2 linked regions of the Diceros bicornis minor genome follow. The protein of the gene in region 1 purifies or fractionates together with the protein of each later gene. This does not show direct contact. Links are inferred from orthologs where the notes say so. Each region holds a gene or a part of one and is shown in the gene's direction. Other genes may lie near its edges. The genes, in order: KIF5B and KLC1.

Region 1 (10,383 bases):
GAGGATTATTTCCAGGAGATAAAGTTCCAAGTCATAGGTTATTATTCCAGTTATCTATTGCTATATAACAAATTTTCAAAATTGAGTAGCTTAAAACAATAACCATTTTATTACATCTCATGATTTTATGGATCAGGAATTTGAGCAGGCCTCAGCTGGGTGATTCTTCTGTGTCAATTGAGATTACTCACTGGTAATCAACTGGTGGATGTGCTGGTCTGGAAAGTTTAAGGTGGCTTCCCTCACAAGTCTGGTGCCTGGGTGGGGATGGCTGGAAGGCTGGGATCAGCTGGAACTATTGACTAGAGTGCCTACGTATATATGGCCTCTCTGGCATGGTGTTCTCAGAGGAGTGGGTCTTCCTATATGGCAATTCAGAGCTCCCTGAAAGAGTGTTCCAAGAGACTTAAGTGGAAGCTATAAGGCTTCTTCCCAGTCTCAGATAGCACATAGTGTCACACTTCTGCTACATTATATTGGTTACAAGTGAGTCAAAGGGCCAGCCAAGATTCAAGGAAAGAGACTCCACAATGGTGTGAATCCAGGTAGGCGTGGTTCATTGGAAGACTATCTGTAGTGGCTAACTTCCACAGTGGAGATTTCAGGCTCTAAATCTGCATAGATGCAGGTACCACTCATTTTCATAAAAAAAAGTTACGTTAATGAGTCTCAAACTGTACTCTCAGGGAAACCTGCTGTTTCACTGCCAATGTTGAATAATGGTGGTCCTTTCCATATTTGGAAGAAAAACTGGGATTAACCAGGTTTTTTTAAATCAATCTTTTGTTTCCTTATGAAAATATTTCTTAAACTCTATTGCCTGATACCACTATTCCTCACTAGTGTGACAGGACAATTTTTAGAAATATATTGTTTTTCACATAGCATTTTTCACCTTCCCGGTCCTGTGCTGAGTCAGGCTCTTTGTGCTGCCTTCCCCAGAAGTGTGTATGTCAGATCCGAAAGCAGAAGCCTCTTGCAGATACTTCCCTTTCTGGATTTTGTTTTCATAAAGGCTGAGCTTCCAGAATCTGTTGTGCAGGAGGAAGGAAGGGGCAAATGTTGAAAGGCAACAGAACTGTCTTGAGCAGCAGAGGTTCCCGGAGCTTCACTCCTTGGCCCTTCCATTCACCTCCTTTCCCTCCCCACACCCATGAAATCTCCTGAGCCACCTCTTTGGAGCCCCTGTTCCATGTAATAGAATTTGAAAATCACTGCTCTAGAACAATCATTCCTCAGATTTTCTGAGTTGGGGAACAAACAGGAATGGTGGAGGGGAAGTTGAGGAACTTCAGATGCAGACCATGTTTCTCTTCCACGTGTACAGGAGGTGAAGGAAATAGTGAAGTAACAGGTGATTGCAACTTTTTTAGCCTGGGAGTATGGAAGAATGCTGATACTGGTCATCAAAACTAGAAAGTTGAGTAGTTGAATTAAGTGTTGGCAGGCAGTAGAGGATAATTAATTTCATCTCTGGAATGCTAAATTTGAGGTTAAGGTTGAGCATCCTAAACAAAGTGGCCTACAAGCAGCTGGAGAGATGGGAATATCACACAGGTGACATGATCAGGGTTGTAGATAAGAGATTCCAGCAATTGTTGAAGCTTCTCTCTCTTTTCACAGAGAGAAAAGAGCAGAGGGCTGAGGACAGAGCCTTCATGAGATTCTGCTTGCAAAGGTTGAAAACTGGTGGCCCACCTGCCACAACAACCTCCTTCTTGGAGTGACTACTGCTTTCTTACTCACTGAGGACTTGGTTCTCTAAAATCATAGACTATTAGAAACTGCTGTTTGAAATTATATCGGTAAGAATAAAGCATTCCACTCTTGCCTAGAGGATCTAAGACAGAGAATCAGTCTTGATTGATTTCCAAGCCAGGTGTAGAGCTTTGGAAAAGGGGTTTCTGAAGACAACATTCCATATCTATCTTAACTTGGTAGTTTCCAAGGAAACAGGACCTTGGGTCCGCTTGTAGTCCAGACCTGGGACCACAGCTCTGCTTTGTTCAGAGCCCATCGAACACACAGCTTCATTTAAATTTTACCTAAATTCCACACTTCCCCCAACGCCCTGTAACAACTCCATCTTTTCCTTTTTTTGGCAAGAGGCCCCATGGTTCCTCTGGTGTGAGCTCTCCCTCATCGCAGTGGATCAATAAACCTGAATTCGTTGGACTATGGATTCATTTCTGGATGATTCGGTGAGGACAGAGGGCATTGGAGGTTTTCATAGTCCAATCCTTCATTTTACAAACAAAAATTGGGGACCAGAGGAAGGGTTCCTAATTGTTTTTGTAGCTCTCCTTCCACAGCACCTCAGAGCCACTTCTACCTGAGGAGTTTTTATGGTATCCGTGTTCTGAAAATTGGAGGCGAAATCAACTGTGGAGTGGTTTTCCTTAGACATGTAATCCACAAATTTATCCAGGCCTTTTAAGACCATCTTGACGCTCCAGGTCAGTCATTTCTAGTGTTGAGACTGACGAGTTCCATACGTTTATTTATTCCCAGGGAAGCGGAACCTCCGAGTCACTGAGGGCCTTCTCCCACCTCATCCTACTCTTTGACATTTCTTCAGCAACCGCCTTCATTCCTTAGGAGAAATTCCTTTTTTCTTTCTTATTCCTATCTCCCCAACCCTCTCTCTCAGGAAAGAGCAACCACTTAAACCAGAGTGCCATGTCCCATCCCTCATTCAAATCTTCCTTTTTCTGGCAAAGCGCTCTGAGAGGGTGGGCTAGAAATCAATTTCATCTCCAGACCAGCCAGAAGCAAACATTTCCTTATAGAAATATAGTATTTTATGTGAACAAACTACAAAATAAACTAGTTATAAAGACTCCCTGTCCCCTAAAAAATAGGAAGCTAAATGCGTCTGCTTCAGTTCTGGGGAATTCGGCGGCCAGATGGTGAGGGAAGCGGCAGCCGGGTGACCGAAATTACTGCGGTGAGGGACCGTCCAGTAACACTCGAATCTGCGACCCCCGGGCGGAGACTGGCGGCGGCGCGGCCCGGCTCGGCCGCGGATTGGTCGCCGGGCGCAGGGGCCCTCCGCGCATGCGCCATGCTCCTCCCGCGCCGCCCATCCCACCGCCCCGTCGCCCCTCCGCAGCCTTAGGAGTGATCGGGAGGCAGCCGGCAAGCCGGCGAGTGGTCTGCCGGGAGGGCAGACGGTGGGCCCGGCGTGCTCTCTCCGAGGAAGAAGGAGGGGGCCACTTCCCCGGTCTGCAGGATCCCTCTAATCCCCGCCGCGTGCCCAGGCCGGCGAGGAAGAGGCCGAGGAGCCGCGGACGCTCCACCCGGCGCCGCCATGGCTGCCATGATGGATCGGAAGTGAGCCTCAGGGCGACGGTTGCCGGCCGGCGCTTCGAGTCCCGGTTCCCCGGCCGCTCCCGCCGGGGGAAGCGCGACGCGGCGGGCTGCTCCTGTCTCGGCCTTCGCGACCCCAGACCTTCAGCTCGGGCCTGCTTCCTCCAAGACTGAGCGGCAGGGAGTGGCTCCCGGCCTCCGGCCGCGGCAGCAAGGAAGATGGCGGACCCGGCCGAGTGCAACATCAAAGTGATGTGTCGCTTCAGACCTCTCAACGAGTCCGAGGTGAACCGCGGCGATAAGTACGTCGCCAAGTTTCAGGGAGAAGACACGGTCATGATGGCGGTGAGTGACCCGCACCCCCACGCGCCGTCCCGCGCCCTCGGGCCTGACGGGGCCTGGAGCTTGGGGAAGGGGCGGGTGCAGAATGAGAGAACGGTGGTGTCCCAGAGCCCCGGGAGTCTGCAGGCTCCGATCCCCCAGGGGAGCGCGACTGCAGCCCCCGGCTCATCCTGGTCGCCCCCACCCCTGCTTCCGCGCCGGCAGACGGGAGGCGCCCGGTTCCGCCCGGGACACTCCCCTACCTGGGGCGCTGGAGGAACTGTCCGGGGAGCGAGTTCAGTGCATGCGATTGCCAGGGTGTCTGTGCGTGTGCGTTTGTTGGGCTGAGGCCGGTGGTGTGTTGGACCACCCTCAAATTTGCCGTTCGTAAAGTAGGGGAGATTAAAGTTCAGCTAGGAACGTTGAGCTCTAAATCAGCCCTGCTCTACCTTAGATAGTAAAGATATTCAGTTTATAGAAACATAACTGCATGTTGAGCTATATTTTGTTTCTCCCGCGGGAGAAGGAAAAACGATCAAACAACTACAAATATACCTGCTTCTCAAATGTTTAACCACCGCCTTTTGAGTGATGAATGAATTTTCATGTTGACAAAAATGACTAATCGAGGACTGTAAAAAGAATCTTGAGTTTTCTTTTAAAATCTGAGTGATCAACTTTGTTTAATCTTCTTGCAAATCTAGCCAATTCAGTTCGGGTCAAGTAAGTGCCCAGGTTTTATGGGGTAACAGTCTAGGGAAGAGTGTTAGCTTTTTTGTGTGTATATCAGACAAAGTATTATAAAAGCAAGCTTTTAAAAAAAGATAAAATTTGACCAGTAAACTAGATTTCTTGTTAGTATTAGATTCCTATTTCTACAGTTAAGATCCATCTTGAAGAAAATTAATTTTGATACTCCCAAGGATGGTGAGAGATATTGTCCATTTGTAGTATAAAATATAACCAGAGTTGGCTGAATCATTGTAAGGGAGACTAGAATGTAAGGTTGATTTTTTTTTTTTGAAGTCTGATCTCTGGTATTGAAAGGTCTCTGAAAATAACATTCCCAGTTGAAGGAGATTAAAATGAATATTAAGAAACTGCATACAGAACAGTGAACTGTGACTAAAAATTAAATTCATCTTTCTCGGTAATGCCATGTGGCAGAACTTTTTTCTATATTGGTATATTATTTTATATATTATATTTTCTATATATGGTATATTCTACATACCATGCTATCATGGTAAAAAGTTTTAACGTTAGTTTTTTCTCTTATGGCATTCTGTGTTTAGCATATTGTTTGTGGAGAGTTTAATTTGGAAATAGGACAGTGTCACAGGAGATGGGACATTGATGATTAAAAGCATTGACATATAAGACTGGCTAAAGTTCTTTAGAGCTTTTATGGGAAAGTTTCCAAAGCTCAGCTTTAAAAAATGAATGTCATAGCTCCAAAGTTGCTCCGTAGGCTTTTGGCAAATGAGCCATTAGGTTACTAACAACTGCCAGCCAGCTACTACTGTGCAGACTGTCAGGCTGGTTCTTTGTTAACAAGACCGCAAAAACTCTTGCCATAATGTCATCAGAGTGAGGCCAATAAGTTAAGCACAGAAGTATTACTTTCTTTAGGATGACGTGTTTTACATAGAATCGGAGGAAGCTTGCAAGGCCTGGGTTGTTAGTGGGCAAACTTGAGGCTACCAGTTTCTCACGAAGAGTTTTTGTGATTACTCAACCTCAACAGTGGTTGACACATCAAAGCTATTTTCCTTTTAGACTTGTGTTAAGAATGTCTTATGTTTCTAGATTCGTATGTGTGTGTTTACACAAATCTATAGGTATCACTAAGATTCATTTGTTGGAATGCTAGAATTTAGAATTGACAAAATGTATTAAGATTAGGTTAGAAGACAGCCTTCTGAAGCAGCCCAAATATGACATAAAATATGAAGAAAGAGCTAAAGGAAAATAAATAATTACCACAGGAAGCACACATTAGTTCTAGGTTGTTTTCTTTGGATAAAGTTATCATAAGTTCCTTATATAAATTTCTTTAGTAGTATAAATAAATTTAAATGATAATATTAGAAATAATGAATAGGTGATTGCGTTGTGAATCAGTAATGCAGTTAGTTGGCCTTTAGGTAAACTAGTAAGCATTTTAGTTTGGTTTTTTTAAAAAGTATAAGCAAAAATACAACTGAGTGACATAGCCTTAAAAATTGTAAGGCAACATGTTTAGTTTATTATTTGCAGGAACTAATCTTTTGCATATAGTAAGTTATTAATTACTCTGAGGTCTCATATTGTTCAGTTTTTTAAATGAATTATTTTATTATTATTTTTTGGGGGGCTGAGGAAGATTGGCCCTGAGCTAACATCTGTGCCAATCCTCCTCCAGTTTGTATGTGGGATGCCGCCATAGCATGGCTTGATGAGCGCTGTCGAAGTCCTTGCCCGGGATCCGAACCCGCAAGCCCTGGGCCACTGAAATGGAGTGCGGGAACTCAACCACTGTGCCACCGGGCCAGCCCCAGAATCATTTTATTTTTTGAAAGATTGTTTGGGAATTTATAAGGGCAGCTGGGAGGAATGAAATTAGAAAAGCTCTAGGTAAAATCATCTCTTGGTTTGTTTTGTTCATTTTACTGGATCCTGATCTGATTCAAAATAAATAGTTAAGAAGGAATTGCTTCTGTGCAGCATTTAAAACTAAATTATTTTAAACATGATTTAAAAACATTTTGTTCACAGTCTTCTAGTTAAATCAAAATTTAAAGAATAAGTATTTTAGTTTATAATGTTACAGAATTATAAGTATAATCAGTGCTCATGTAGAAAATAACTTTTAAGGATTCTGATTTTCATCTAAGTTCAGTTTCCAATACTTTGTCCAAACTTTTTTCTTGTTACACATGTAATGTGATTTTAGTATAATGCAACCTCATGGCAGGCAAATCTTATAATCTTATAGTGTTTCTCTGTGTTTTGTGTTTATACAGATTTTTTTTGTAATTAAGTGCTTGGTGAACTGCTATAAATAATCACATATTGAATGAAATAAATGAATTATTTTATTAAAGCCTTTAGGTGATACAGGTAGAATCTGTTTGCTTTAAATAAGAGAACTTGTTATCCACAAAAAAGAGAGGGCAAGGGAAACACCTTATGTAGTTCAAATGAGCCTGCTGAAAACGTTGGGGAAAATGTCGGTAGAAAAAATTACTCCTGTATCTATTTATGCATCATAATAGTGGAACATGCATGTTTACATCATTAAGTATGTTTACTAATCATCATTCCTTATATGGTATGCTGTAGAGGCTGCCAGAACAAAAATTAGGCTGTTGTAGTTCATTGAAATTAGAGGAGAATAAACTTAATTCTCACCTAGTTCCTTGCCTGTAGCACACGATTTCCCTTTTCAAGTGAATGATGATTTGGTGTTTGATCCTGATTACCATAAGAGTGAAATTAAAAGAGAAGGAGCCATCATCACAGACCTTTACAGTTGTGGAATGTTAGCCCACAATCAGTGTCAAACTAAGGAAAATCTAGTGTGATATAATCCCATGTGATCTCAAGATCACTACTCAGAATTCCAGAGAAAGGCATATCCCTGCCAGAAGGGTGTCCTTCATAACCAAATTTGGTGTTCAGCCTGGTCTGTGCAGACTCAAACAGGAACCACTTAGCTTAAGAAATCTAAGATATGGTTACAGTTCAAATAAATTTATTCTTATTTGGTTTTGTCCCCTGGAAGTCTAAGTCAGATGTGAATGCATCTTGTGACTTCGAGTATCTTTGAATATTCATAGAAATAAGGGCTGCATAATGTACATTTCAAAGGTTTTTAAAGAACCAGGTTTTTAAAATACAGGTGTCCAGATACTGAGTTTTCCTTTGTTTATTTGATGGATTATTAGTTAAGAGATGTGCCTTAATTATAGACCATTAGGTCTATAATTAAGACCTATTGGTTAGACCAAATGGTTTTTATGTTTTACAAGTCTTGTTTTTCATCCCAGGAAGGAAGGGTTAGTTAGTAACTTTATAGCTAGATCTCTAATCAAAACGTTTGCCTTACTTAATAAGATTATAATATAGTTTCAGAATTAAAATAAGACAATTTTGTCAACTTCATGCTAAGCACTTAAGTCAATTTTTTATTTAACAGTGATATAACACCTTTACAAAATCACTCAGTCTCCACTTGATTATTCTTATTTTTGCATGTTCATATTCTTATTTTAATAAGATTGTAGTAGTAGTTTACATATTTGCTATGAGGTGATGCTGAAGTAAACAGCTGCATAAAGTACTTTTGAGGCAGGCTTTACAGTTGCCTGTTATTTTTGGCATATATCTTCCTTCCTTCCTTCCTTCCTTCCTTCCTCCCTCCCTCCCTCTTTCTTTTCTGTGAGGAAGATCAGCCCTGAGCTAACATCGGTGCCCATCTTTCTCCACTTGATGTGGGACGCCACCACAGCATGGCCTGACAAGCGGTGCGTCGGTGCGCACCCAGGATCCGAACCCAGGCCACCCGCAGCGGAGTGCGCGTACACTTAACCATACGCCACGGGGCTGGCCCCTGGCATATCTCTTTCTAAATGGTTTATGAGCACTGTTTTTTATTGATGTGAAAATGGAGATATGACTTAAAGCTCAGTAGTGTGTGTTCTTTCTATTTGTTGTTTATTTTAATAAAATTTTATTATTTGATTTATTTTGGAGGGATACAGTTGTATTCATACTTTTACTTATTATCTATTGATTAACTTGTTTCTTGCAAGCAAAATTAGAATTAATCCTTTAATTTTGGCTCTTATATTATTTTTCTACACGCCTATTATTAAATGTATATTTTGGCTAATTGCAGTCTCTTCTTGAATGTTTACCAGGTTGTGAGGTTTTTTTTTATTTTTATTTATTTTTTATTTTTTGTGTGAGGAAGATCAGCCTTGAGCTAACATCCATGCTAATCCTCCTCTTTTTGCTGAGGAAGACCATCTCTGAGCTAACATCTATTGCCAATCCTCCTCCTTTTTTTTTTTCCCCAAAGCCCCAGTAGATAGTTGTATGTCATAGTTGCACATCCTTCTAGTTGCTGTATGTGGGACGTGACCTTAGCATGGACGGAGAAGGGGTGCGTCGGCGCCGCCTGGGATCCGAACCCCGGGCCACCAGTAGCAGAGCACACGCACTTAACCCCTAAGCCATGGGGCCGGCCCGGTTGTGAGTTCTTTAATGCTAGATGCTGTCTCCGTCAATTAGTTAACATCACTTGATAACTTTTATTAGATCCTAGTATACAGGATCTTGGCTTAGTATTCAAGACTTACCCGGCCTTATCCTCTATTATTCTTTGAACCCTACAGTGTGTACTAATTAAATATAATTTCTGAAATTGTGTTACTCATTTACAATAGCTTTGTAGGTGCTAAATATATGTTTGCTGGATAAATGAAGAGGGAAAATTACTTTCTTTTTCCATAGAAAAAATATTAGCATGGTTTATCTCTGGGTGGTGATTGTTCTTTTGATTGTATTTGTGTTTGTTTTCAGAATTGTTTATCACAAATACATCTTGTACTATCAGTAAAACAATAGATTGTCTTCCTTTAGCCACACCTGTAGAATTGAATGTTAATGTGTCAATAGCATCTTAGCAAAGGGACACTTTTATATATGTCATACATAGCCAAAGAATAATTAGACACTGAAACACCAAAGTGAGGTCATCTTAGTATATCCTTCAGGAATGCGCTCAGCTGCAGAGGGAAAACAACTAATAGCGGTTTAAATAAATAAGAGGTTATTCTTCTCACATAAAAAGTCTGGAAGATGAGCCTTTATACTGTTGCTACTTACTGACTCGTTATCCTCGGTCATCCTTACTTATTGACTTTTCATCAACATATTTTTCATGTTTGCAAGATGGATGCTACAGCTCCAGACATTCATTCCGGAAAGGAGAAAGGGCAGCCTCAGCTGAGATGGTCCTTTTTATCAGGAAAACAAAACCGTTCTCTCAGACCTCCCAGCACACCATCACTTACTTGATAGTATCCAGAACTGGGTCATGTGGCCACTAATTGCAAGGAAGACTAGGCTAACAAGTAGTTAGTTTTCCAGCCTGTCTCGTGGGAGGTGGCAAGGGGAAGGGGATTTGGGGGAATGGCTTTGGATAGCCCTTTAGAAGCGTCCGCTTTGTGTTACTGTTCCAAGCTTTGGGGAGGGGATTATGGGGTATAGTTTCTAAAAAGTAAGATCTTTTTTAGTTGAGACCTAGGAAGTATTGTATAATGGAAAGGATTTTTTTTACTGGAGTCATGATTGTTTTGTATTTTAGAGCTCAGCTTCCTTCTTTTCTTTAGAAGAGACTAGAGAGCAAGCAGGCACTTACTTTCAAATACCCAGAACCCCTTTGCCTCTCTCTCATCTTTAGATACCCACTTTCTCTCCTAGATTACTAGGTTATTCCTGCGAGCATTTAAACTTGCTCAGATCTTGCCCATCTTAAAAAAATACCTTTCTTAGACCCACAACCAGATTTCTGCTCTACTTGGTTACCTCCTGTTCTTTTTTCAACCCCTTCCTATCTGACTTTTGTCATTGCATATTTTTCAGTTTTGCCTTGACCTCATAGCTATATTTGGCACAGTCACCTCCCTCCTTAAAAATTCTTATTTGATTTGCGTGGACCCTATACTCTATGGTGTCCATAGTGATTTTTTTATTCTATGCCTC
Region 2 (10,383 bases), on another chromosome or scaffold:
CTTCTTTCATATGAACCAAAATGGAAGCAGCTCAGGTTCTCATCAACAGGAGACCGTCAAACACACAACATCATGGATGAACGTCAACACTATTAGTTGAGTGAAAGTTGCCAGATACAAAAAGCAGATACGGTAGGATTCCACTTATATAAAATGCTAGAACAGGCAAAACTAACCTATAGTCAAACAAAACAGAACAAAGCAAAGAAGGCCCATTGGCTAATTGTGGAATCTCAGTGGTGGGTATGTGTGAGTTTGCTATACAAGTTTTTCTGTCTGTTGACACATTTGGGGACAACAAATGCAGACACAGCCAGACTGATCTTTCTCTAGCACAGGCTCCATTGCCCTCCCTGCCTGCATTGAAGCATCAGTCCTCATCTGGAGACATCCTGGGTCCCACGGATGGCTCTGTACATTGGTCTCACCATCCAAGACGGCTTCCCTCATGGCCTGGTGCCCCAGGGGACAGCCAGAAGGCAGCGCTCAGGGGACAGGGATGTCTGGGCCTCTCCAGCAGGGCAGCTGGCCTTCTTACATGGCCACTCAGGTTCTGAAAAGCACAAAAGTGAAATCTCCGGGGCCTTCTTAAGGCTTCAGCCTGGAACCGGCTGCCTCACTTCAGCTGTACTCAGAATCAGGCTGGCCCAGAGGGCGTGTGGAGGTGACTGGTCAGGAATGCTGGGGACCCTGGAACTCCTGCAGGAGCCAAGCTTCACCAAGCAGGACCCAGGCCTCAATCCCCCTGCATCAGGGAAAAATGTGTGAGAGAGAGACTGAGGGAGCAGGCTGGGCTTCCCCCCAGAGCCAACCCACTCCCTCCTCCCACTTCCTTCCTACTCAAAGTGCTGCTGTTTTCCCCTTTGTCCGAAGGCGAAGGCGCAGTCACTGGGGCTTAATGCCAGCAGCTGCAGCTCTTTAAAGGAAAAACACCCTGAAAATCTGATAAATGCCATTTTCAAAACTGAAGCCAGAGACCAGAGAGGGTGTGGCTTGTGGTGGAGAGCAAGGCAGAGGAGCCCGGATTAGCCCTGGCCCAGACACCAGGCTGCCCCTCCCCAGATGAGGCGCACCAGCCCCTCATCCCCTGCCTCATGCAGGCTAGGCATTGGCCAGAATGAGGGTGAGAGGTGGGGGCCAGGCTGGGGGAGGGGGTGGGAGGAGGCCGCCCTGGAAGAGAGGGGGACAGGGGAACGCAGCTGGCTGGCGGGGAGCTGGGGGAGTCCTGGCTGCACTGCCTCTGCTTACCCTCCCAGCTCCTGTCCCTCCATGTGTGTGCAGCCCCTCTCCTGACAAGGCCACTCAGACAGGTCACCACTCCCATCCCAAGGACACACACCCAAGTACAGCTTCCCAGCCCCACCAGGCTGCCAAAATGAGACTGTGTGGTTGGTTCCACGTTGTGCATCTCTTCCTGCAGTTCCCCCACTTGGACCTTCATCTGCTGGGTCCTTCCCACCTACCATGTGAATGTTCCTCTTCCATGGAGTCCCCTGATCCCTGAGGGACATACAGCTTCCCCGCTCAGCGCCTGAACCAGGCCTCCTGTCTCTGCTCCCGCGGGTTGTCGGCTCCCCCACACAGGGGCGCCTTGTTCTCCCATTGCGCAGCCTCGCACCTGACACTAGTGGTACTCCATAAATATTGGGAACGGAATGATTGGGAGACTGTATGCTCCTGGTTTATCTCTGACGTCCAGGTGCCTGGCAAACCGCAGGAGGTCAGTGTTGCATCACTGGACGCGTGTGGATGTTTTCACTCTTCCTGGACCAGGGACCTCAGCCCCAGCTTCATCTGCGCACTGTAGGCTGCCTCCAAATCTGTACTCCAGCCCCAGCCTCTGTTTAGATCTCCAGGCTGCCTGTTGATCTGTCAGGTTTCGGAGCAGGAGAGTGAAAGAGTCAGAGCTGGGAAGGAGACAGAAACAGATGAGGGCAGAGGACACAGCCTCTCCCTTTGGGGAAAGTAGGAGGATGGAGAGACAGAGACAGGCAGAGAGAAGGAGGAGGAGCTGGCTCACACCACGCAGGATGCCTTTTCCAAAATGGAAGAGCGCTTACAAGGGAGCAAGGAGAGAGCCTGCTCCCTGCTCTCACGTCTGCTGGAGGAACCCCTAGTCCTGCTGCATGGGGGTGGGGTGCGGGCTGGGCCCTGGCCAAAGGTCCCTGGCTGCCCCCTGGGGCACAGTCCTACCCCACCAGGACCCTAGCTAACTCAGCAGGCTGTTGGCCACAGGGATGCTCAGAGGCCACTAGGACTTGTGCAAACAGGTGTTTGCTTCCCTGGGCCCTGGTCCTCTGGGTTTGTAGGGAAGAACAGATAATGGGTTTGCTGCCTGTGAGTAGCTCTGCTGAGGCTCCCCCACCACAAAGGCATTGACTCCTGGCTCTGCTAGTGCCTGCACTGGGAGCAGGGCTCTGTTTTGATTCCTAAAGCTGAGTTACTCCCTCTCTGGGAAGCAGCAAGCAAACCACGGAACTTGCAGGGCTTCAGCTGCAGCATCTGTTAAATGGGGATAACAGCACCTCTCTCGGAGTTTCTGTGAGGAGCAGAGGATTGAAAGGGACTGAGGACGCTCAGGGCAGGGCAGCTCAGTGAGGGCAGGACTTGTTAGTCTTAGTTTGAGACGCTGGGTGAGGAAGGCGCCAGCCCCGCCACTCTCAGAGGGATAGGTGCATCGCAGCATTTTCAGCAGGGAAGTGACGTGGTCAGATTCAGGATGTGGTGGATGAATTGGCCTTTTCTTTCTTTTCCCCAATACTGCAGACTCATTCCTGCCTGAGGACTTGTGCCTGGCGTGTTCTCCCCCAGGCTTTGCACCGTTGGCTCCTGCCTACTATTTAAGTCTCAGCGCACCTGCCTGCCTCAGAGTTCACCCCGACCACCTCGCCTCTGCCTGTTGCATCATCTTACTTTAATTCTCTGCATGGCACTGCATGAGCAGGGATCTTACTATCCTGTTTACCAACATATCTTGGCTCGTATCGTGCGGACCACCGCAGCTCAACAAATATTTGTTGAGAGAATAAAAGAACGAGACAATAAAGCCTAAACAGAGTGGCAGCAGTGGGGATGGAGAAGGGATGGAGTAAAGCAACATTAAGGAGGTAGATTCTTGGCCACCCATCAGAAGAGGGCATAAGCATCTCAGGTTTCTAGCTTGGGGACAGTTACTGAGTCCAGAGTCACAGACAGAGAAAGGAGCCTCGGCTCCTCTCTTCTCCAGAGCACTTTGGTCACAGCTGCCTCGCCCAGCTCCAAAGTGGTTGAGGAGCAGGTGACATCCAAGCTGCAGTGTGGCCAAATCACTACCAGAGTGTGGAGGGGTTGTTTGACTCTGATTCACTGCCTCTCCCTCTGCCCAGTAACTGCTGTGTCACTGTAGGAACTCCCCCCTTTTTACCTCTTCTTTGCATTTATAAACGAAAGCAAAGTAACTGGACCTCCCTGTGAAAATCTAGGAGAACTTACTTCTCCGTGACTGTGTAATTGCGGGGTTAAAACAGGGCGGCAGGGCTGGGTGATAACATCTGAAGAGCAGTTGAAGAGCGAATGGGGGTGGGAGATTGGCACAGGAACCCCTCCTGATTAACGGGGCCCTGCACTTGGGACATCTGCAGGCACCTGGGGCGCGGTTCTCCCAAGCTGGTGGCAGGCAAAGACAACTGAGCCTTGCGCACTGATTCAGCATGCTTCCTCCTGGCTGGCTGCTGAGTCAGGCCTGCAGAGCTCGCGATGCAGCAGGATGAGGCCAGGGGCTCTCTCTGACCTGGAAGTACTGCCCTTCAGGCGGGGGCTGGAGGTTGTGGCACTGCAGCCCGGTGTGTGCGCGGGCGATGGCGCCGGTGGGGTGCGACAGCAGGGAGTGGCATCTCTGCTCTTGCAGGCACTAGTGGTTAAGCATCCCGGTCTCTCTTACCAGACTGAGGTGCAGTTCGTGGGAGGCCTTTGTGGCTGACGGGAGGGCCCCGAAATTCCCCTCTATTTCTGAGGCTGCAATGGTCCTGGGGAGAGGGAGTAACGAGATGGGAAGGCGCAGGGGTCTGGGGTCCCGGGTCTTGACCAAAGGCTGTAGGTTTTCCTGGAGGAGGGAGAAAGGCCTCCTGGCTTAGCCTAGCCTCTCAGCATTCTGTCCTCTGGAGGCGCTGGTGAGAGCCCTCCTAACGTGTTCTGGAAAGAAGCAGACGAGCACATGACACACGTGCATACGGGGTTGCCACACAGCGTTGTTCCTGGTATAGGAGGGAATGGACGGGACGCAGGGCTGACCGACCGGCCATGCTGGGCCGGAGCCGTCCTCAGGCCACACTCCCAACCGCGCGCCGGGAGGGACGACAGCCTGGCGCTAGGTGGTCGGGGGCAGCCGCGCCCGCGCGGGGCCACCCACGGCGGGCACACGCCCCGCCCCTCTCGTGGACAGCCGGCACACGCCCCGCCCCTCGCGTGGACAGCCGGCCCCGACCGCACCCGGTCCTCGGCTAGCCAAGCGCCGCGGGAGCCACCCCGGGCCCGCCCCCGGCATGACGTCACGGCGACGCGCGGCATTGTGGGGCGGGAGCGCCCAGCCGGGGGAGGGACGCGGAGACGCCATTTTCGGCGGCGGGAGCGGCAGAGCCGGAGCCGGCTGGGTGCGGGGCGGCGGCTGCGAGAAGGAGCCGCGGGGACAGCGCGGGCGGGCGGCCGAGGATGCTGCGGGGCGGCCGCGCCGGCATCCCTCGCTCGTGACCGCGGCGCCGCGTCTGAGGCGTCCAGGCGGCGGGCCCGCGCAGTCCCGCTCCGCGCACGCGCCGCGGCCTCCCGGTGCTGACAGCGCGAGCGCGCGGCCGGCGGAGCAGCACGGTGAGTGCGGGCGGGCCTCACCCGCGTCCCCTCCTCGGTCCCCGTCCTCACCCCTGTCGCCCTCAGGCCCTCTCCCGACCCCGCCCCGGGCCCAGTCCTCGGTCCTCAGCCGTGGTTATTCCTCTTGCCTTCCCGTTCCCGGTCCCCTCCCCGGGCCGCAGACCGCGGTCCTCATCCACGTCCCCTTCCTGTCCGCTTCCCGGCCCCCTCCCGGGGCCGCGGACCTCGGTCCTCATCCATGATCTTTTCCCGTCCCTGGCCGCCGCCCCATTCACGTCCGCTCCAGATTCGGGTCCCGTGCGCGTCTCCATCCCGGCTCGGGTCCCCGCCCCAGCCCCGCCCCAGCCCCGCATCCACGGCTTGGCCCTGCTGCGGGCGGGGGCGGCCGCGCCCGGGAACAGCTGTGGTCCCGGGAGCCGCGCGACGGGGGATGTGGCCGCCCCCGGGACGCGGCGGGCAGGAGGGGGCGGCCGGCCGCGTTTGCTTTGTCCGAATCCTCCCTCTTCCTTCCGGCCGCCGCCCTCTCCCGTGGCACCGCCCTGGGCGGGCGCGCCTGTCAGGCTCGCGGGCGACCGGCGGCCGGGCGGGTCGGAAGCGTGTGGGTTCCCCCGAGAGGCCGGCTCGACCTCGCCTCCTCGGCGATCCCTTTCTTTTAGTAGCAAGACGGGTAACCTTTCATCCTCAGTGTTCGTCTAAACTTACAGCAGCCCCAGTGCTGGAATATCTAGTTGGTTGTCAAATGTGGTGCATCTCTTTCCTTGAAAATATTAAATAAAGGACTAAAAAAGTAAAATTAGTGCCTGGTGGATTGGATGGTTTTACAATTTAAGGTTTGTAGATCTAGGTAGTTTTGTGTTGGAAATTTTATATTGTTGCTGCTTATTACTGTTTTTTTATTTAAACAGCACATTTAGAGTTTAAAGAGTACTTGCAAAAATGATGTTTTTAAAAAGTGTGAGAACAACAGAAAATTTGAGATACACCGTTTAACTGCTGGGTAAATGGGCAGTTGGTTCTTTGATTCTTTGCATTAGTTAAATTCCAAGGCTTTTTTTTGTACAGCATAACTGAGCCATTGATCAGAGTCATTAGCTCAGAATACATTGTAATAGTTCAGTGAAAAACCCATTAGGAAATTGGAACAACCTCCTTAAATCTCATAATCTTATTACAGTTCCAGATTTATGTTTTTCAGGCACTGGCCACAGGCCTTAGGGTGGGAAATTTGATTCATTGTTGTTTCCTAAGTATCTGTAAGAATGCAGTGATACTAAATATTACAAATTTCAGATTGTGTGGAATTATATGTGGGAGGGTAGGCACTCTTAAGAGCCGGTTTCTCCAAGTCATCAAAGAATGCAACATCATGTTGCAGTGGAGCCTGGCAGCCCTGTGCTGTTACGGAGGGGTGTGGAGGACCCAGGGTGTTAACCTCACTGCGGCCTGGCTCATTCACCTTGCTTGGCAATGTCTTCTAAAAACAGTGTAGACAGTATGTAGTAAAGGTAGAAAGACATGCACGGGAATGAGGACAGTGATAGTCTCCAGCAAGGAGGAGGGAGGAAATGCCACTGGGGAGGGGCATATAATATCTTAAATATTTCATAGTAATAAAAACTTAACTACAGTTACTTAAAGTTTACATTCTTTTTTAAAATTATACATTCTTAAGAATGTTTCATAATGTTGAAAGATAGATAAGTCAGTGTGTAGCTTTCCATATGGGCTATAAACTATCTTAAAATATAATTGTGTCAAACAAAACCCAAGAAATAGAAAAGTCAAAAGTTGAAAAAATGTAGAATTTTTATAACCTCCAAACATAGGTGGAATATGATGAGAAACCAGAACTTTATGTTACAAAGAAGTGATCAGTAATATTCTGAACAAGATACAGGAAAGTTTTAGGTGTCAGATTTCAGGGCATAGACTAAAAATGATTAGCATGTTAAGATTGTAAAAGCACAGTCTTAAACATCTTTTGAGAACCAAACGAATGGCAGGTGCTGTGTTAAGTAGTTGGGGATATACAGATAAGACTTCTAAGAGCTCACAGTCTGGCGAGGGAGATGGGAGAAGTTGAGAAGTCGACAGGTATTACAGATTAGGTTAAATACTGTGCTGAGTGCCCTGAGGAGGGGATTCCAGATATGAGACTGGAAGGAAAGTACAAATTGGCCAAATGACGGTGGGATTGGTGGTTCTGGAGGACATAAGCCCTGAGGTAGTGCTGCAGTAAAGGGGAGTGTTGGGAAGGGGTGTGAGTGGAAAGGTGTTGTACAGCCTGCATAAGGGGGTTGCTTTCACCCTGAGGGTAGGAAGGACGATTGGAGGATTCTAAGGAGAGAGGTGACATTTTAGAAAGAGCATAGGCAGTGTGGCAGGTGCTTTGAACCGAGATAAGACTAGTTAGGAAGCCATTAACCCCAAGTGAGGACTGTAAACTTTTGAGTTAGGGCAGTGACAGTAGGAACAAAGGAACAGATGTGTCAGAGAGGGATTGATGGACTAGAGTGGCCCTGAGTTGGGACTGAGTGGATTGGGGTAAGGGTCGGGCTGCAGGCAGGAAGAGACAGATCAGCAGTGTGCCCAGCCACAGCGAACTGCTAAAACATAAGGCGGGTCATGTCTCTCTGCTGAAGTTTTTGCCATTGTCCTGTAAGCACCCGCATCCCTGTCTCTTTCCCTCTTCATATTCTCACCCTCACTGAGGCACATCCAGGTGCATCCTAAGCCTGCTGTCCTGGGTGTCACTGTCCTCACTTCCCCACACACTCCCTAGTACTTCTTGCTACAATACTGTATTATTGTACTTAATTATTATTTAGTTTATTGTCTGTTTTCTCCACTTAACATCCATAAGCTCCACGAGGATGGGGATTTTTATCTGTTGTAGTCAGTGTCAGTGCTTGGCATGTAATAAGCACTTAATAAATGTTTATTGAAGGACTGCATCTAGAATTACTTCCTCGTCTCCAACTGTGTGACTCACTGGCTGGTGACACCCACCAAGATGGGGAAAATGAGAGGAGGAGGAGAAGCTGGTGAGATGGTTCTGGATAGCTTAAATGTGAAGTGCTTGTGGGGCGGCCGCGTGGACCAGTGGACAGTTGGAGATTCAGGTCTGGAGCTCAAGACAAAGATTTGGGCTGGAGATACAGATTTGAGAGACCTCACCATGTTATCCAAAGCCAGAGGCAGCATCTATAATGACCTCTCCAGGAGAGCATCTGACACTTAGTAGAGACTGAAGTGGCCCTAAGGGTAGGAGGAGTGAGCCCTGGGAAAGGCAAGAGGAGGAGGTCAATAGCAAATTGGCTAAGAAGTCAGGGAGGATTTGGACAGAAAAATATACTGGATTTGGCTTCTATGAGGTTATTAGTGACCCTTTAAATTTTTCCTGAGGGGCGGGCCCCGTGGCTTAGCGGTTAAGTGCGCGAGCTCCGCTGGTGGCGGCCCAGGTTTGGATCCGGGCGCGCACCGATGCACCGCTTCTCCGGACATGCTGAGGCCGTGTCCCACATACAGCAACTAGAAGGCTGTGCAACTATGACATACAACTATCTACTGGGGCTTTGGGGGGAAAAAAAAAAGGAGGAGAATTGGCAATGGATGTTAGCTCAGAGCCCGTCTTCCTCAGCAAAAAGAGGAGGGTTAGCATGGATGTTAGCTCAGGGCTGATCTTCCTCAAAAAATAAATAAACAAATTTTTCCTGAGAATATTGCCTCCTACGGCAGGAGGGCTAGTTCAAAGATGGCCTGTATTCTTTCTCCCAAGGCATCCTTGTGTCATTCTGCCCTGTAACCTCCTGGATAATAGACTCTTAGATCAAAAATGAATTATGATTTTATTTTTGTTTTAACTAATTTTTAGGGGCAGATGAAAGCAATTTGGATCTGTGCTTTTAAATGCAATTGTGTTGCTCAACGATGGGGACATGTTTGAGAAATGTATCATTAGGTGATTTTGTCATTGTGTGAACATCATAGAGTGTACTTACACAAACCTAGATGGTATAGCCTACTACACACCTAGGCTATACGATACTAATCTTATGGGACCGTCGTCGTAGATGCGCTCCGTCATTGACTGACATGTCTTTATGTGTCGCATGACTGTATGCTCGGTATGTTGTCCGTACTTAATAAAGCGGATAAGTGAATATCAATGGAACAAGCATTTTAAGCTGAGTTAAGTGCATATGTAAAGTAGAAGTTATTTCCTTCATTCTAAAATATCCCAGTTACCTCAATTTAAACCTTGGATTGTTCCCTGACTCTGATTGCATAACGTGGCAATTTATGTCCCAGCCTCTCGTAAAGTTCACTATACTACTGCTAACAAAACTGATAATAGTAAAGTTAGCATGATAATAGTAAAGTTAGCACCATGCCAGATAAAATTGGTGCTGTAATCACCTCTCTTCTACTGTTGAGGAAGTTGAGGGCTAGAGAGGGCAAGTTCCTTAAACCAGAGGTACACAGCTGAGAAGTCAGGCTTCTAACTCAAGTCTTTTGCTTGTACATTTCAAGCATTGCCCCACCTTGCTGTCATGAATCACTATAATGCTCACCTCAGTCCTCTAGTTGCCTTCACCTGGGAAACCCTTGCCCCAGTTTTTCCATTTCCAAAGCCCCGGTAATGCAGTGTCGTCATGGTAACTCCATGTGTGGTGTTTTGGTCACCATATTGGCATTGTAGTATTTGTGTTCTTCACAGAGCCTGGCATAGAATAGGTGGTCAGTAAAAGTTGATTCTTTATTCTTATGGTGAATACAGGTGGTGTGTTTTCTCTTAAAGTTCACTTATTCTACCTGTTTGGAAAGGATTTGTATTATTGACCAAACGGGGGAGAAATATGTTAATTTCTATCCTTCTTGAATTGTGGTAAAAAACACAAAATTTACCATCTTAACCATTTTTAAGTGTACAGTTCAGTAGTCTTGAGTGTATTTACATTGTTGTGCAACAGATCTCTAGAACTTCTTCATCTTGCAAAACTAAAACTCTATACCTGTTAAATAACATCTCCGCAAGTCTTTTGCCCATTTGAAAAACTGGGTTTGTCTTTTGAGTGTAGGAGTTCTTTACATATTTGGGTACAAGTCTTTTGCCAGATACATATGTTGAGGAAAAAAACGTTTTCCTAATGTGGGACTTAACTATTTGTTTTCCGGCTATGCCTTTTAATAGTCAGTAGTTTTAAATTTTGATTAAGTCCACATTATCAATTTTTTTCTTTTATGGTTTCTGCTTTCTGTTGTCTTCTCTGTTTTTGTTTTTATTTTTTTATTTTTTTTATAATTTTTATTTATTTATTTATTTTCCCCCAAAGCCCCAGTAGATAGCCGTATGTCATAGCTGCACATCCTTCTAGTTGGTGTATGTGGGACGCGGCCTCAGCATGGCCCGAGAAGCGGTGCGTCGGTGCGTGCCCGGGATCTGAACCCCGGGCCACCAGCAGCGGAACGCGAGCACTCAGCCGCCAAGCCATGGGGCCAGCCCTGTTTTTGTTTTTAAATCGTTAAAAAATGTATGCTCTT

Evidence for each region.
Region 2: the proteins of KIF5B (region 1) and KLC1 purify together in Homo sapiens (co-immunoprecipitation; 11 studies listed by BioGRID and IntAct, counting the BioPlex papers as one, with this or other methods). This does not show direct contact. The link is inferred for Diceros bicornis minor from reciprocal best matches to the Homo sapiens genes KIF5B and KLC1.

What each region holds. Positions count from the first base shown.
Region 1 is NC_080775.1:30,268,167-30,278,549, reverse strand, and holds the start of KIF5B (kinesin-1 heavy chain), read left to right. Parts: upstream 1-3,117; 5' UTR 3,118-3,528; coding exon 3,529-3,654; intron 3,655-10,383. UniProt on the Homo sapiens protein: Microtubule-dependent motor required for normal distribution of mitochondria and lysosomes. Can induce formation of neurite-like membrane protrusions in non-neuronal cells in a ZFYVE27-dependent manner.
Region 2 is NC_080763.1:48,267,881-48,278,263, forward strand, and holds the start of KLC1 (kinesin light chain 1), read left to right. Parts: upstream 1-4,691; 5' UTR 4,692-4,839; intron 4,840-10,383. UniProt on the Homo sapiens protein: Kinesin is a microtubule-associated force-producing protein that may play a role in organelle transport. The light chain may function in coupling of cargo to the heavy chain or in the modulation of its ATPase activity.